Stegostoma tigrinum: one gene and its partner. The protein of the gene in region 1 binds, or shares a complex with, the protein of each later gene. Links are inferred from orthologs where the notes say so. Each region holds a gene or a part of one and is shown on either strand. Other genes may lie near its edges.

The links. Proteins that work in one complex are often made in the same cells at the same time.
Region 2: crnkl1 (region 1) and rbmx2 share a complex: the UniProt entries of both Homo sapiens proteins name them as parts of the minor spliceosome. The link is inferred for Stegostoma tigrinum from reciprocal best matches to the Homo sapiens genes CRNKL1 and RBMX2.

The regions. Positions count from the first base shown.
Region 1 is NC_081362.1:14,517,143-14,525,014, reverse strand, and holds the start of crnkl1 (crooked neck-like protein 1), read right to left. Parts: upstream 3,217-7,872; 5' UTR 3,095-3,216; coding exon 3,047-3,094; intron 1-3,046. Other genes in the region: cfap61 (cilia- and flagella-associated protein 61), read left to right, coding at 6,355-6,497. UniProt on the Homo sapiens protein: Involved in pre-mRNA splicing process. As a component of the minor spliceosome, involved in the splicing of U12-type introns in pre-mRNAs.
Region 2 is NC_081368.1:47,498,930-47,507,214, reverse strand, and holds the start of rbmx2 (RNA-binding motif protein, X-linked 2), read right to left. Parts: upstream 3,122-8,285; 5' UTR 2,922-3,121; coding exon 2,917-2,921; intron 1-2,916. UniProt on the Homo sapiens protein: Involved in pre-mRNA splicing as component of the activated spliceosome. As a component of the minor spliceosome, involved in the splicing of U12-type introns in pre-mRNAs.

The DNA.
Region 1 (7,872 bases):
GGCTAACAATAGGTAATATATAATGGCAGACTACGTGATAAGGCTTGGTATGTGGGATTGGGGGCTACTGTCGTTGACAGGGCCCTCAACCGCGTCCGATCCATCTCCCACACTTCTGCACTCACCCACTCTTGCCTTGCAGAACAGCAGTAGGGTTCCCCTTGTTTTTAAATGTACCATCCAGAAGATAATTAGTTGACATTTCCGCCACCTCCAGCAAGATGCCACCGCCAGACATGTATTTCCTGCCCTTGGCCGCTTACCACAGGGATTGTTCTCTCTGGGATACCCTGGTCCACTCTTCTTCACTCCCATCATACCCTCATAACCCTATGGCACCTTCCTCTGCAACCGAAGGTATAACACCTGCCCATTCGCCTCCTCTTTCGTCAGTATTCAGGGGCCCAAACATATCTTCCAGGTGAAGCAGCACATTGCCTGCACCTCTCATAATCTAGTCTACAGCATTTGCCGCTAACGTGGTCTCCTCTACATTGGTGAAACGAAGCATAGACTGGGTGACTACTTCACAGAATACATACAGTCTGCTCGCAAAAAAGACCCTGAGTTTCCAGTTGCTTGCCATCACCTTGTTCCTGGTTTATGGACTTCAGCAAGGCATTTGATAAGGTTCCCCAGGCTCATTCATAAAGTCAGGAGGTATGGGATACAGGGTGATTTGGCTGTCTGGATTCAGAATTGGTTGGCTGACAGGAGGCAGAGAGTGGTTGTAGATGGTAAGTATTCTGCCTGGAGGTCAGTGCTGAGTGGTGTCCCGCAGGATTCTGTTCTTGGGCTTCTGCTCTTTGTAGTTTTTATAAATGACTTGGATGAGGAGGTTGAGGGGTGGGTTAGTATGTTTGCTGATGACACAAAGGTTGGAGGTGCCATTGATAGTATCGAGGGCTATTGCAGGCTTCAGCAAGACATTGACAGAATGCAGAGCTGGGCTGAGAAATGGCAGATGGAGTTCAACCTGGATAAATGCGAAGTGATGCATTTTGGAAGGTCGAACTTAAATGCTGAACATAGGATTAAAGGCAGGATTCTCGGCAGTGTGGAGGAACAGCAGGATCTTGGTGTTCAAGTGCATAGCTCCCTCAAAGTTGCCACCCAGGTGGATAAGGTTGTTAAGAAAGCATATGGTGATTTGGCTTTCATTAACAGGGGGATTGAGTTTAAGAGCCGCGAGGTTATGCTGCAGGTCTACAAAACCCTAGTGAGACCACACTTGGAATACTGTGTCCAGTTCTGGTCGCCCTATTTTAGGAAAGATGTGGAGGCTTTGGAGAGGGTGCAAAGGAGGTTTACCAGGATGCTGCCTGGACTAGAGGGCTTTTCTTACGAGGAGAGGTTGACTGAGCTCAGACTTTTCTCTCTGGAGAGAAGGAGGAAGAGAGGTGACCTGATCAAGGTGTACAAGGTAATGAGAGGCATGGATAGAGTCGATAGCCAGAGACTTTTCCCAAGGGCAGGATTGACTGCCACAAGGGGTCATAGTTTTGAGGTGTTAGGCGGAAGGTATAGAGGAGACGTCAGAGGGAGGTTCTTCACTCAGAGAGTTGTGAGCGCATGGAATAGTTTACCAGTGGTAGTCGTGGAAGCAGAGTCATTAGTGACATTTAAGCAACTGCTGGACATGCACATGGCCAGCAGTGAATTGAGGGGAACGTAGGTTAGGTTATTTTATTTTTGGATTAGGATTATTCCACGGCATAACATCGTGGACCGAAGGGCCTGTACTGTGCTGTACTTTTCTATGTTCTAACATCTGTCTCAGGTTTGCGGCAGTGTTCTAATGAAGCTCAGAGCAAACCGGAAGAACAACAGCTCATTTTCCACTTGGGGACCCTGCAGCCCTCCGGACTCAATATTGAGTTCAATTATTTTAGGGCCTAAACTCTCCTATGTCCTAGCCCCCAAACCCACACACAATGGCTAACAGTAGGTAGTGTGTATTGGCATACTAACAGTCTCCATTAACATCTGTTCACCCTCCTAGCCTGATCGTTACCCACTCCTTTGTCTGCCCAACTGTTCTCTCTCCCTGGGTGGTAACCCACATAACATTTATTCCTTAACCACCCCTCCCTCCACCTTATCTTCTGCATAGAAAACATTGGTTCCCAGCCTGCATGTTCTGAGGAAGAGTCACTGGACTTGAAACGTTAGCGGGGTAGCACAGTGGCTAGGACTGCTGCCTCACAGAGCCAGGGACCTGGGTTCGATTCCAGCCTCGGGTGACTGTCTGTGCGAAGTCTGCATATTCTCCCAGTATCTGCATGGGTTTCCTCCCACAGTCCAAAGATGTGCAGGCTAGGTGGATTGGCCATGCTAAATTGCCTGCAGTGTTCAGGGATGTGTACATTAGGTGGGTTATAAGGGGATGGGTGGGATGCTCTGTCAACAGACGAGGACTTGTTGGGTCTGTTTCCACACTGTAGGGATTCTATGATTCTTAACTCCGAGTTCTCTTCACAGAAGCTGCCAGACCCGCTGAGCTTTTCCAGCAATTTCTGTTTGTGAAAATTACGATTGGATGATTACAGAAGTTCAAAATATAAACAAACGTATACAATGGGTAATTTATTTTGGAGACATTTGAAGTGCCCCAAAACATTCAAGTAACTTTTCTGGACTAGTAGGCGCATTAAGCAGAAACTTTAAGGCTAGTTGATCGTTTAAACTTGCATATGGTGTGTCTTTGGTTCCAACTGTAACAAGGTTTAACTCACTGTAACCTCACTTACTATACTTTAAAATGGTCTTGATATCCCCTTAAGGCGGTACGGAAATGTAAGCCCTTCCTCTAAAAGGAAACAAACGGGGGGGCGGGGGTTGTCATGAGTTGAAAATTGCATGTAAATGTGTTCGGAGGAGTACAGGAACCGCTCAGTCCTTGCGCCAGACTTTAAACATCCTGACTTTAACCGCAAGGACATACAGATTGATTGCTGCTGTTGTCGGTCGAGAATAAACGTCGGTGTTGGTCAATTCCTGCAAAGCCTGACAGGGCCCGACACAGTCCTAGCAAAGTGCTGGTTACCTTGGCCACTTTGGGGATTCGCTGTTTTCCAGCCGCGGTTGAAGCCATTTTCGGGTCGTAATTTCAGCCCCCCCCCTTAATCGTTCTTTTGCTAATTCGGGATCAAAAAAATAAAACAAGACCCTGCCGCCGTCACTACCACTCCGGTAACATCCCGAGAAACATCCGGGTACCCCGCGACGTAACCTCCGACCCGGCAGCGCACCACGTGCTAGCAACGGCAGTTGCCATGGCACCGGTACACCGCGTTGCTAAGACATTTTGTGGCTTCTTGGGCGCGAAGGCTGCGGCGGAGGCTGAGGTTTTGTTTCTTTTTTTAATCAAAAAAAAATTGGGTGACGGGCTTTTTAAGTCTGGGATAGGGTAAAACTTAATATTCGGTGTAGACAGAGATTATAAAGGTGTGCCCAGACTTGCCTAAATTCATTAATAAATCAAATTATTGCGAATTGCGAAGATCTGATGCAAAAACAAAAACAGAAATTGCTGGAGAAACTCAGTAGGTCTGTTAGCTGCCGTGTAGAGACCAGCGACTTTTTCACGAGGGTCTGAAAAAGGGTCTCTGGACTTGAATTATTAACTCTGTTTCTCTCTCCACAAATGCTGTCAGACCTGTTGAGATCCTCCAGCAATTTCTGCTTTTGTTTCAGATTTCCATCATTCTCAGTTCTTTGATTTATTATAAAACTGAACTTAGACTTGGTCAAACTCAGTGGTAAAACAAAGAGTTGCAGGTGCTGGACATCTGATACAATAACAAAAACATTGCAGGAGAAACAAGATCTAGCAGCATTTATGAAGAGAAGAGTTGATGTTTCAGAAATTCTAGTGACCAGTTTTGACTCACGTTAACTGAATTGAAATTTTATCTCCACAGGCTTTGCCTGACCTTCTTGGCTAAATTAATGTCTTTATTCATATGAAAGAATGAACTTAGGGCACAGTGGCCCGCTGGTTAACTATGCTACCTCATTGGGCTAGGGACTTTGTTTTGATTCCAGCCATGAGTTTGCATGTTCTCCCTGTGTCTGTGATTTCCCACCACAGTTCAAAGTTATGTAAGTTAGGTGGATTGGCCATGCTAAATTGCCTCATAATGCCCATGGATGTGCAGGCTAGATGGATTAGTCATGGCGAATGTTGGGTTATAGAGATAGCTTGGGTGATTGGTCTGGATGGGATGCTGTTTGGAGGGTCTGTCCAGACTTAGGCTGAGTGGTTTCTTTCTGTGCTACAGGAATTTTAACTGCTGTTTGTGGAAGAGAGTCTAAACCTCCACTAACTTTTGTGTGTAGAAGTGCTTTCTAACTACACCAGGATGGATAGAGTAAGACAAATATGAGAAGAGAATCTGAATTTTGTCAGACATGTTACAGATCCTGTGAAATATATTCTAACCCGTGGTGAGAGAAAGTGATAACACTCAGAAATGGAAGTACTGGTCCTACTGAATAACAAAGTGTGGAGCTGGATGAACACAGCAGACCAAGCAGCATCTCAGGAGCACAAAAGCTGACGTTTCGGGCCTAGACCCTTCATCAGAGAGGGGGATGGGGAGAGGGAACTGGAATAAATAGGGAGAGAGGGGGAGGCGGACCTAAGATGGAGAGAAGAGAAGATAGGTAGAGAGGAGAGTATAGATGAGGAGTTAGGGAGGGGATAGGTCAGTCCAGGGAAGACGGACAGATCAAGGAGGTGGGATGAGGTTAGTAGGTTGGAAATGGAGGTGCGGCTTGAGGTGGGAGGAAGGGATAGGTGAGAGGAAGAACAGGTTAGGGAAGCAGAGACAGGCTGGGCTGGTTTTGGGATGCAGTGGGGGAAGGGGTCGAGCTGGGCTGGTTTTGTGATGCAGTGGGGGAAGGGGAGATTTTGAAGCTTGTGAAGTCCACATTGATACCATTGGGCTGCCGGGTTTTGCTGTACTTGCAACCTTCAGATAGCATCTTTGTGGCACTGCAGGAGGTCCATGATGGACATGTCGTCTGAGGAATGGGAGGGGTAGTTAAAATGGTTCACGACTGGGAGGTGCAGCGAACACCTCCGTTCGGTTCGCAACGAACAACTGCACCTCCCAGTCGTGAACCATTTTAACTCCCCCTCCCATTCCTCAGACGACATGTCCATCATGGGCCTCCTGCAGTGGCACAATGATGCCACCGGAAGGTTGCAAGAACAGCAGAACCCTGCAGCCTAATGGTATCAATGTGAACTTCACAAGCTTCAAAATCTCCCCCTTCCCCCACTGCATCCCAAAACCAGCCCAGTTCTTCCCCTCCCCCCACTGAAATTCTCCAGCATCTGCAGTTCCCATTATCACTGGTCCTACTGAATGTTCATTTTGAAATACACAAGACAAGTCTGACCACGGTGTGTCATTTTGCAGCTTTTACTGTTTATTCCTTCTGGAAATGAATAACTGTTCTTGTGTCTCCACAGATGAGCCTGACCTGGGGATAGCTTCAGTTTTTATTCTGTATCATTTGAAGTTGTTTACCAACAAACTTGAAGAAATGATATTTATAGCCAGTAGAATTATTATGTGCAATATGTAATTTTCTTTATGCATTAATATTTTTCCTCCAATATTTTTTCCAAATTTATGGCTGGATACAGTTTGACTTTGGGACAAAATCTGTGAGATGTGGTGGTGTAACTTATGTTGTGAAGAAAATCCATGTTATCATTGTTTTTCCTCATTGATTGGGCAACATCCTAGAAAGTACCTAATTCCATGGTGAAATATCATCATCTCAAGGATTGAAGTGTCTCAAAGAGAAGGCCCTCAGTGATCACAAGATAACTAGGAATGCCCAAAAATTCCTGGTGACAATCATATTCTGAGAATAAATAAAAATAACCTAAGTAACTTTGACAATTTATATTGATCATGGATATCTTGTTAACTTCATTTCATTAATGACTTTTTAAAGAGTCAAAATATAGTTCACAGGATGTCCAGCAGGATAGGAGTCAAAATTTGTAAGGTGCTTTTTGTAACCTTATCTATTATCTCGGCCTCTAATGATACAGTAATATCATTTAGTTGCATTGTATTTTAATTTTAAATTGCAATACCTAGTCATTTATTTAGCTCCTTAAATCTATAGTGGTTATTGGAGCTCAAAATTTGGCCTGGTGATTTTTATACAAGATTATCATATTCTTTCAATTTATGCTGTTGAATATCTGCGACTGAAAATATTGTTTTTTCTAATTATGCTTGTTATGACCTTGAGTAAGTATCTTCAAAACCTCATGCCATGCTGTAATTTCAGTTCCTTATCTGTACATTCTCTTCCAGAACAACAATGACAACAATATATGCTTCAGGTGGAGGAAGTCTAGTAATAAATGTCAGACGGTCAGAATCTCAAGATGCACAGCAGATTATGAAACTGTTCACCCTCAGTACAACAGCCATGTTTGGAAGAATTAATATCATCTATCTACTGTATGTATATGTAAAGAATGTCCATTAATAAGGCCTTAGAAAAGTAGTTTTCATTGAAACCTACAGAACTAATATATGTGTTTTATAGTGATTAGGTGCACTAATACAACTGAGGATAAAAAGCTACCTAGTGCAAATAATTGCAGCTCAAATTGATGGATCAGAATTTCCTTTAATCTTTATTTTAATGTACAAAGACGATTCATGAATTATTACAATCTAAATCAGTGAGATTAACAGACATGCACCTATTTCAGAGCTTACTTTGCCCTGTCACACTGCCATTTTCTGTGCCATTCTGCACCTTCAAGGCAATGTGCTACAAAATATAAGTAGAACTTGCTGGAAAAACCCAACAAGTCAAGTATATTCTGCAGGGATATAAACAGAATTAATATCTAATGTCGGTCACCTTGCAGCAGATCTGGAAGAAGCTTGAGATTTAATAACATACGAGCAAATGAAAAGCTAGGGAAAATACGAAGCAACTGGAGGAATCTCTCTGAAAGGCATAAAATCATAAGAAGTAGAAGCAGGAGTAGACATTTGGCCCCTCACGCCTGCCTTGCCATTCAGTAAGATTATGGCTGATCTGTGCGGGCCTCAACTCCTCTTTTGTGGCATCTGCTTGTAGCCCTCAATTCCTAATAGTTCAAAAATCTATCTGTTCTCTGTTTAAACATTTTCTTTGATCTAACCTCTACAACTCTGTGGTAGAGAATTCCAGCCGTTCACTATCCTCTGAGAGAATAAATCCCTTCACATCATAGTTTTAAATAAGTATCCCCTTTTTATGTAACTATGTTGCCAAGTTTAAGATTCTCCCAGTAGTGGAATTGTATTTTCAATATCTACCCAGTCAAGATGCTCGGAATTTTGTACACTTCAATAAGATTATCCCTCCTGCTTCTAAACCGTAATAAATAATGGCCTAACCATTTCAGCCATTTTTGAAAAGTCAATCCCTTCATCCCAGGAATCAGCCATGTGAATCTTTTTTGAGCTGCTTTCAATACCAGTATATCCTTTCTGAAATACGAGGACCAAGACAGTACTTCAGGGTGTCGCCTCACCAACACCCTTTACAGTTGTAACAAGACTTCCCTATTTTTAAACTCTACCACATAGTTATGAAGGCCAAAATTCCATTTGTCTTCTTAACTACTTGTCTGCAAGCTTACTTTTTATGCCTTGTATACAAGATCGCCCAGATCACTTTGTACTGCATTTTTTGAAGTTTTTCTCTACATAAGTAATAGTTCACCTTTTGGTTCTTCCCGGCAAAGCACATGACCTTGCAATTTCCTACATTAAACTTTGTCAGACAAGTTTTTTACTCACTCAGTCAACCTATTGCTATCCCATTGCAAATTCT
Region 2 (8,285 bases), on another chromosome or scaffold:
GGTTTGGTGACCCTATCTCAGAACACTTTTGAGGTCAGCAGCTGAGTAATCCTGTTGGAGCTCAAACTGAGAATCAGGCAGTTGTTTAACTAGACTGTGGAACAATGACAAAGGCATCCATCTTAAGATCTAAGCTCTACAGTCCGCTGCATCCAGTTGTGAATGGTGGTGGACTATGTAACAATTCACTGGAGGCGGCGGCTCCACAAAGATCTCTATCTCAATGATTGGGAACCCAGCAGGTCAATGTGAAGGCTTAAGCATTTTCCTACAGTTTCAGCCAAAAGTGTCTAGTGGATGCTCTATCTTAGCTTCTTCCTGAGGTCCCCAGCATCACAGGTTCCAGCTACATCCAGTTCAATTTATTCCACATAATGGCAAATAAAAACTGGTCACTGGACTCTGCAAAGGTAATCGGTCTGGACAACATTCGAGCAATACCACTGATGACTTACGCTTCAGAACTAGCAGCAACCCTAGCTAAGCTCGTACACTGCAGCTACAACATTGGGATCTATCCAGCAATATGTATAATTTCCTGATTACATCCTATCCACAATAAGCAGGACAGATCCCACTCAACAATTCCATCCCATCAGTCTATCCTCTAACGAAAATACAGAAAGCACCATCACCACCTGTGATTTCAAGCAGTACTTACTCAACAACAATTTGTTTACTAGACTCTCAGCTTGGGTTCTAACAGACCACTCTGTTCCTGACCTCATTATAAATTAAGTCAAAACAGCTGAACTCCAGAGGGGCAGTAAGGGTGATTACCTCTATATCAAAGCAGCATTTGACTGTGTATGGCATTAAGGAGCCACAGTAAACTGGAGTTCATCAGAATTGGAGGGGGAGAGGGTAACTCCCTGCTGTTTAGCACACAGGAAGGTGGTTGTGTTGTTGGAGTCAATCAACTGAGACACGGGAGTTACTCAGGGTAGTGTCCCAGACCCGACCATCTTCAACAACATTCTCTCCATTGTAAATGTCAGAAGTGAGATCCTTCACTGATGACTGCACAATTTCTGCACCATTTGCAACTCCTCCAATACTAAAGCAGCCTCTGTCCAAATACTGCCTGTTTGACTGCGACCGCATCTAACACCTTCAACATTCACTGCTTTTACCAGCGACATATAATTACAGCAATGCGTACCATTTACAATTTGCATTTGCAACAACTTGCCAAACTGCTTAGACTCTACCTTCCAAACCCTTGATTTCTATAATCTAGAAGAAAAAGGGCAGAAAATGCATGGGAACACTACCACCCACAAGTTCTCTTTCAAAACACACAAAATTCTGATTTGGATATGAGCTATTCATTGTCATTGGTCAAAATCCCGAATAGATATCTCATCAGCACAAGGATGGGCCAGAGGAAACACCAAGGAGCACAGTAGTTGAAGGTTCACTGCCATTTTCTACAGGGCAACTGATGCTTGGTAGTAAATGCTGACCTTGCCAGCGATTCCCTCATCCCATGAATTAATAAGAAAAGCATTTTACATGTATTGAAAAGAAAACAACATATTCTATCAGAGGAAATTTCCATAGCTTACATTCTGATTCTGCAAACAATAATAAAAAAAATGAAAAAAAACTGCAGATGCTGGAAATCAAAATCAGAAACAGAAACTGCTGGATAAACTCAGCACATCTGGCAGAATCTGTGGAGAGAAATCAAAGTTAATGTTTTGGGGCCAGTGACACTTCCTCAGAACTGAAATTCTTCTCTCCACAGATGCTGCCAAACTTGCTGAGTTTTTCCAGCAATAAATTAAATTAAATTAAATTAAATTAAATAACTTAAATATATTATCCTCAAGTGGATATTTGGCCAAGCTGGTATTTGTAACATTGTTGGGTTGAGTGCAGATGACTACTCAGTCTTTCCCAGACTACATGCACTTACATAAGTGTCATTTGCAATAGACTTTGTCCAGTTGATCTAATGAGAGGCAAGATCATCTGATTTGGGTGCAAACTGTATTCGTTTCAAAATAAAAGAAGTCTTGAACAGAGTTGAGGCTACTTTTCACTCGCATATTAAATGGTAGGACAGAACTGTTTCCAGCATTTTCTAGAGCTATTTTGAATTTCTACACATTTGCTTTCATTTTAGTTTACAGTCACTTCCCTTCCACAAATGCCTAGTTTGAAGAAGCTCACGGTTTTCACCACTGGGTTTACGGTTGTCTCTTTTATTTTGTTCACCACTTCTCCCAAGCTCAGTAATTCATCTTGAAAATGTTCCAAAGGCCCTCTAAATCAGTGCAGAGTGTTGTTTTGCTGGCCAGACGAGCTGAATCCTAGTTCAATAACCCGCATTTTTATTATGCTCCTCAAATACTGTGAAAATCCATGAAACTGCTTCACAGGCTACAGGAAATGATAATGGGAATGGGAAGGGAAACTGGAAACATAAGGAGACAGAAAGGCTTTTGGGAGATTGTTGAAAGAAAAATGTCAAGGCACGGGGTGATGCAAAGGACAAAAATACAGTGACTGACAAAGCAGCAGCTACCATTTCATTCACATTTATGGTCATGCCAAGTTATTAACCTTTCCACGGTTTTATTAACGACTGATTCGTTTCACGTTGAAACTTCAGTTGGCAAACAACTCAGATACTTCTGGCCACATTTTATTCCGATCAAACCACTGTCATTAACCGTCTTTAGTGTTTTACTTAAATAATTCCCAAGAACTAAGAGTTGGTGCTGAAAGCAGGTTCCTTTCTTTCAGGAACGGTGGACATTTTAAATAAAAAATCCTGCCACTGATCCTTTACCACCTTGAAGTAACTCAGAGAAACCTCTTACCTGTCCATACCGGACAGGTAATTTCCTCCCTTTAGTGATGCTGTTTGTTAAACCAGCAACTACATCAATTTAATCGCCTACTCACTTCATTTCGCAGTAAAGTCCCAAATTTTACCACAGCAGCTCCTCATCCCGGATAAGGGCGGAAGGAGAGGAGCAAGAAGGACCGCAACAGGAAAGTGGAGAACTCCGCACACACCACCACCTACTGACGCACGCCACCAATCACACGCTGTGATCGAGATTTCGCTTGAATTCTCAATGTCGGAAAACAATACGCAATTTGGCTACTTGAACAAATGCAGATAAATGCAAATTATAAAATCTGATTAATCCACTGTATTGGAAATGCATAATTGTCATTTGTTCTGACAAAAGGTCATCAACCTTCGGAGAATTTTAATCCCAGTACATGCGAGGATGAGGTTGTCTGTCATTGGGGATAGTGAAAGAAACAGACATTTTTAACACATCCAAGCTGGTTTTCCTTAATTAACTTTCAGTTGTCCCAGTGAGCCGTAACCTTGTCATGTCTGAAAGTTTTGTCATCACCAAGATTAAAATGACTGGATTGAGCTCTTGCGGTGTGGTGCTCGTGCCCCTACTGGGGCCAGGAGCTCAATGTTTTAAGTTGCACGTAGTAAACAGAGGTGTGTCATGATATTTCTGAACAGGCTGATTAAAATATTTAAAGAGACATTCCTGTAGTTGCAATTCTTGTACTGTTTCTTGAACAATAACTTTTGCAATTCTCTAGTCCTCTTGCTTCATTGTTCTACATCTCTGTAATTTTGATGCAAATTTGTTCTCTATATTTTTCACTTTAGTGTCTGATAGAATACATCCAACAATGTAGTGGTACTAAAACAAAAGCTGCTGGAAAAGCTCAGCAAGTCTGGCAGCGTTCTGAGGAAGGGTCACCGGACTTGAAATGTTAACTCTGTTTTTCCCTTCACAGATGTTGTCAAACCTGCTGAGCTTTTCCAGCAAATTTGTTTTTGTTTCTGATTTACAGCATCCGCAGTTCTTCCAGTTTTTATTTGGTATTACTATTGTTTGTTAGCGCTAACAAAATAGTTTCTGTCCTGAACACTTTAGGAGATCCTCTCCCTCTTTTGACACTACGATGTTCTCCTTAATCAGTACAACTATTCCTCGATCTATCTTTCCTTCCCTCTTTTTCCTGAATGCCTCGTATTGGGGATTATTAATACCACACTCTGCCTTTTATTATGCCAGACCTCTTGTTATCACTAAAACATCATATTTCCATGTGGCTACCTGCAACTGGAGCTCACCTGTCTTATTTAGCATGTTCTAATACATTCTTAAAAGTAAATATAGTTTAGACATTAGCACATTTTCTCTCACCCACACCCAAACTAACACCATTTTTCACTCTAATGCTATTTGTCTCTCCTAATCCTCTATATATTTTGATCTTCCTCTTTTATGTCACCTCCTGGTTCCCACACCTCTGCCCAAATGGTTTAAATCGTCCCCAGCAGCAGCAGTAGCAAATAGGCCTGTAAGGACATTGGTCCTGACTCTGTTAAGGTGCACAGGTCACACCTCGCAAGAACCAGTCCCAAAGTGTCAGATATCCAAAGCCCTTCTTCCTGAACCATCCCAGCAAGCACGCTTCAGGCAACCATAACCCGTAAACTCCTAAACAATAGTTTATGTTACTGGGAATAATTTGCAAATTACTACCATTGAGCTCCTGCTAGCTGGCTTCTTTCTAAGATCCCTAATCCATTCTGGAGGACATCATCCTTCTTTCTTACTTACATCCTTAATACTGATAGTAGCCATAAGAGCTGGCTATTTGTCCAGCACGTTCAGAGTGTTTTGTAGCCATTTAGTGATACCCTTGATCTTGGTGCTGAAGAGGCAATTTATCTTGCACTCTTGTCTGCAGCCAGAAAAAAATTCTGTATGTTCCAATAGCTATTGAATCCCTGATGTCTAATGCTTTTCCAATATTCTTCCTGCTTCTCCTGTCGTGTTGAGTAAGCTTGGTAGCAAGGACTAGAAGCTGGCTGGACACACCAAAGGAACCATCATTCATATAACATTCAAAATAGAGAGAGTTTGCCCAAATTGAACTGCCTCCTTGGATAATCTTCACTATCTGACAGTTATCCATTCCTTCTCTGCTTGCATACCTTAAGATTGCAGAGTGACCACATCTATAAATGTACTACACATAAACCCCTCAATCCTGCAGTAATACCTGCTGCTGTTCACACTTGAAAACATGCAGTTTCAGCTGCTGCTGCCACTGAATTCAGTCTTGCACATCTGGTTATCTTGGATTCAAGAATTGTGGACACTCCACAGGTCTGAGCCACCCTGTTAAGTCTGTTTTTTTTAAATCAGATATTGAGCTGACTGATTAAATAAAAAATAGGCATTCACCAACAGCTCAGCAATCACCTACCTCTCTTGTTAGTAAAGTGATTGAAGATTTAAATATGCCTTCTGGTTATAACACCCAGCACAATGTTGTCTCTTGTTATCTAAAATTCCCTGATGTCAATGAGATAAAACCATGAGGATAATGAGAAGGTTGCGAAATTAACAAGATGGAAAGCTTTCAGGTTCTGATATGTCTTTCTATTTCTTCTTCACTCCAACCATCTCCTCTCTCCCCTCATCCCCACCCACTGTAACTGTGGTTAACAGGAGGTGTCAACACTTCTATTTTCCCACTTGCCCTCTGACCAAGAGCTTTAATAAGCTACTCCTTTTCCTATGTTTCTACCACTGCTAATTTCTCCACCTCCCACGTAACACCACCAACAAGTAAATCTTTCCTTCCCTTTCCTCTTGTAAGGGCTGCCCTCAACTGGGACCTAGTTCTGCTAAGAATGTCTTTGGGTAGATATAACCCTGCTTGTAATACTAGACCACAGGACTCAATAATATTAAATGGTTAAGGGTTAACCACCAATAAATCTTTGGCAGACAAGAATGACAAGAAATAGTTTATTACATACTGAGAGAACAGTGCCGGTTCTTTCTGGAAAAAACTTTTATCTTATACCCAAAACTATAAGAAAATATTGACTCTCAAAATATACTTCCATTAGAACAACATTTTTAGATGATGAAATACATCCTTTATTACAGCAGCGGCTGGTTAATCAAATTAGATGTGGTAAGAGACATAGATATCTCCTAAGAGGAACAGCAATTCATATGCCGTTTGGGAACTCTGCAGCCTAATGGTATCAATGTGGATTTCAACAGCTTCAAAATCTCCCCTTCCCCCAATGCATCCCAAAACCAGCCCGGCTCGTCCCTGCCTCTTCAACAAGAACTGACTTGCTCTTCACAGAGACAATTACTGAGATCCTGGTGGGTGGAGCGATACAAATTTTTGAAGGTTAAACTTTTCATGCCAATAATCATATATGATATCTCCCTCCCAGTTTTTCCCTCCTTATTAAACCCGGTATATTATTGTTTAAATAAGCACATCAAGTTTACTACTATTTCTTCTCCCATCAAGTCTCTGACTTTACAAGTTTATGCCAACTTGAAGAAATAGGTGATTTTCTTCTTCACAAAGAATGTTGAAAGTTAATATCTAGAAAGGCTAGTGGGTGTTATATTTTGCTGTGAAGGCATATGAATATTGACACTGAACCACTATGATGCCCAGAGTTTCTTTGATTTCTTCAAAATGTCTGATAGAACTTAAGTATGAAAAGTAGTCTTATCCTTTCAAACTTGTTACAAGGTAAATCTGGTTGAATGTCTCCCAGCCTATCATATTGCCTTTTGGTTGCCGAGATTTCTTTGTTGTTGATGAATTTAGAACCTGAGTATTCTCTTGTTTGTGGAGGATAAGAAACCAGCTCTTAAAACTTTGTGATAATGGGAACTGCAGATGCTGGAGAATCCAAGATAACAAACTGTGGAGCTGGATGAACACAGCAGGCCAAGCAGCATCTCAGGAGCACAAAAGCTGACGTTTCGGGCCTAGACCCTTCATCAGAGAGGGGAAGGGGAGAGGATTCTGAAATAAATAGGGAGAGAGGGGGAGGCGGACTGAAGATGGATAGAGGAAAAGATAGGTGGAGAGGAGAGTGTGGGTTGGGTGGTATGGAGGGGATAGGTCAGCCCGGGGAGGATGGACAGGTCAAGGGGGCGGGATGAGGTTAGTAGGTAGGAAATGGAGGTGCGGCTTGAGGTGGGAGGAGGGGATAGGTGAGAGGAAGAACAGGTTAGGGGGGCAGGGACGAGCTGGGCTGGTTTTGGGATGCAGCGGGGGAAGGGGAGATTTTGAAGCTGGTGAAATCCACATTGATACCATTAGGCTGCAGAGTTCCCAAACAGAATATGAGTTGCTGTTCCTGCAACCTACGGGTGGCATCATTATGGCACTGCAGGAGGCCCAGGATGGACATGTCGTCTAATGAATGGGAGTGGGAGTTGAAATGGTTCACGACTGGGAGGTGCAGTTGTTTACTGCGAACGGAGTCTGGGTGTTCTGCAAAGCGGTCCCCAAGCCTCCTCTTGGTTTCCCCAATGTAGAGGAAGCTACACCGGGTGCAGTGGATGCAGTATACCACATTGGCGGATGTGCAGGTGAACATCTGCTTGATGTGGAAAGTCATCTTGGGGCCTGGGTGTGGGGTCAGGTGTAGCACTTCTTGCGGTTGCAGGGGAAGGTACCGGGTGTGGTAGGGTTGGCGGGGAGTGTGGAGCCAAAAAGGGAGTCACGGAGCCAGTGGTCTCTCTGGAAAGCAGACAGAAAGGTCCAGGAAGGTAAGGGATGTGTTGGAGATGGTCCAGGTGAACTGAAGGTTGGGGTGGAAGGTGTTGGTGAAATGGATGAACTGTTCGAGCTCCTCTTGTGGGCATTAAAAGTTTGTGAAGATTTTTTCATTGGAAATCTTAAAGGTCATAGGTATATGCTTCTGCATGGGTTAGAATGTGAACATTCTAATGAGGCCAGTAAAGTTTTTTCTCTGCCTGATAAATGTCAATATTTTACAGCAAAGCATACTTGCAATTTTTAAAAGTGATGGTTATTGATTGTTATACATATATAAGTTCTACAAACTGATGATCTTTATGCCTTAAAGAAACTTTGAACACTGCTGTAGACTTAGGTGTTATTCTATGTAGTCAACATAACATCAAATCAGTAAGTTATAATTTTATATTTTTCAACCAAGGAGTTTTGTCAGATATCACGGTGATACTTGCTCCTGTATCATGCTTGAATTGACTTAGATGTTTCTTGGCATGGATGAGCTTTGTTATGTCCTGTTTAGATGAGTCACCAATTTCCCCAAAGGAATGATTGAAATATTTCTTCAAGGGACATATTTCACCCAAAACAATCGAAGCATATTTTGGGAGTTAACACTTTCTAATGGTTTTCGGTATAAAGAATTAAGTTTAGCTGATATAACCAACACTGTTCTATTATTTAAG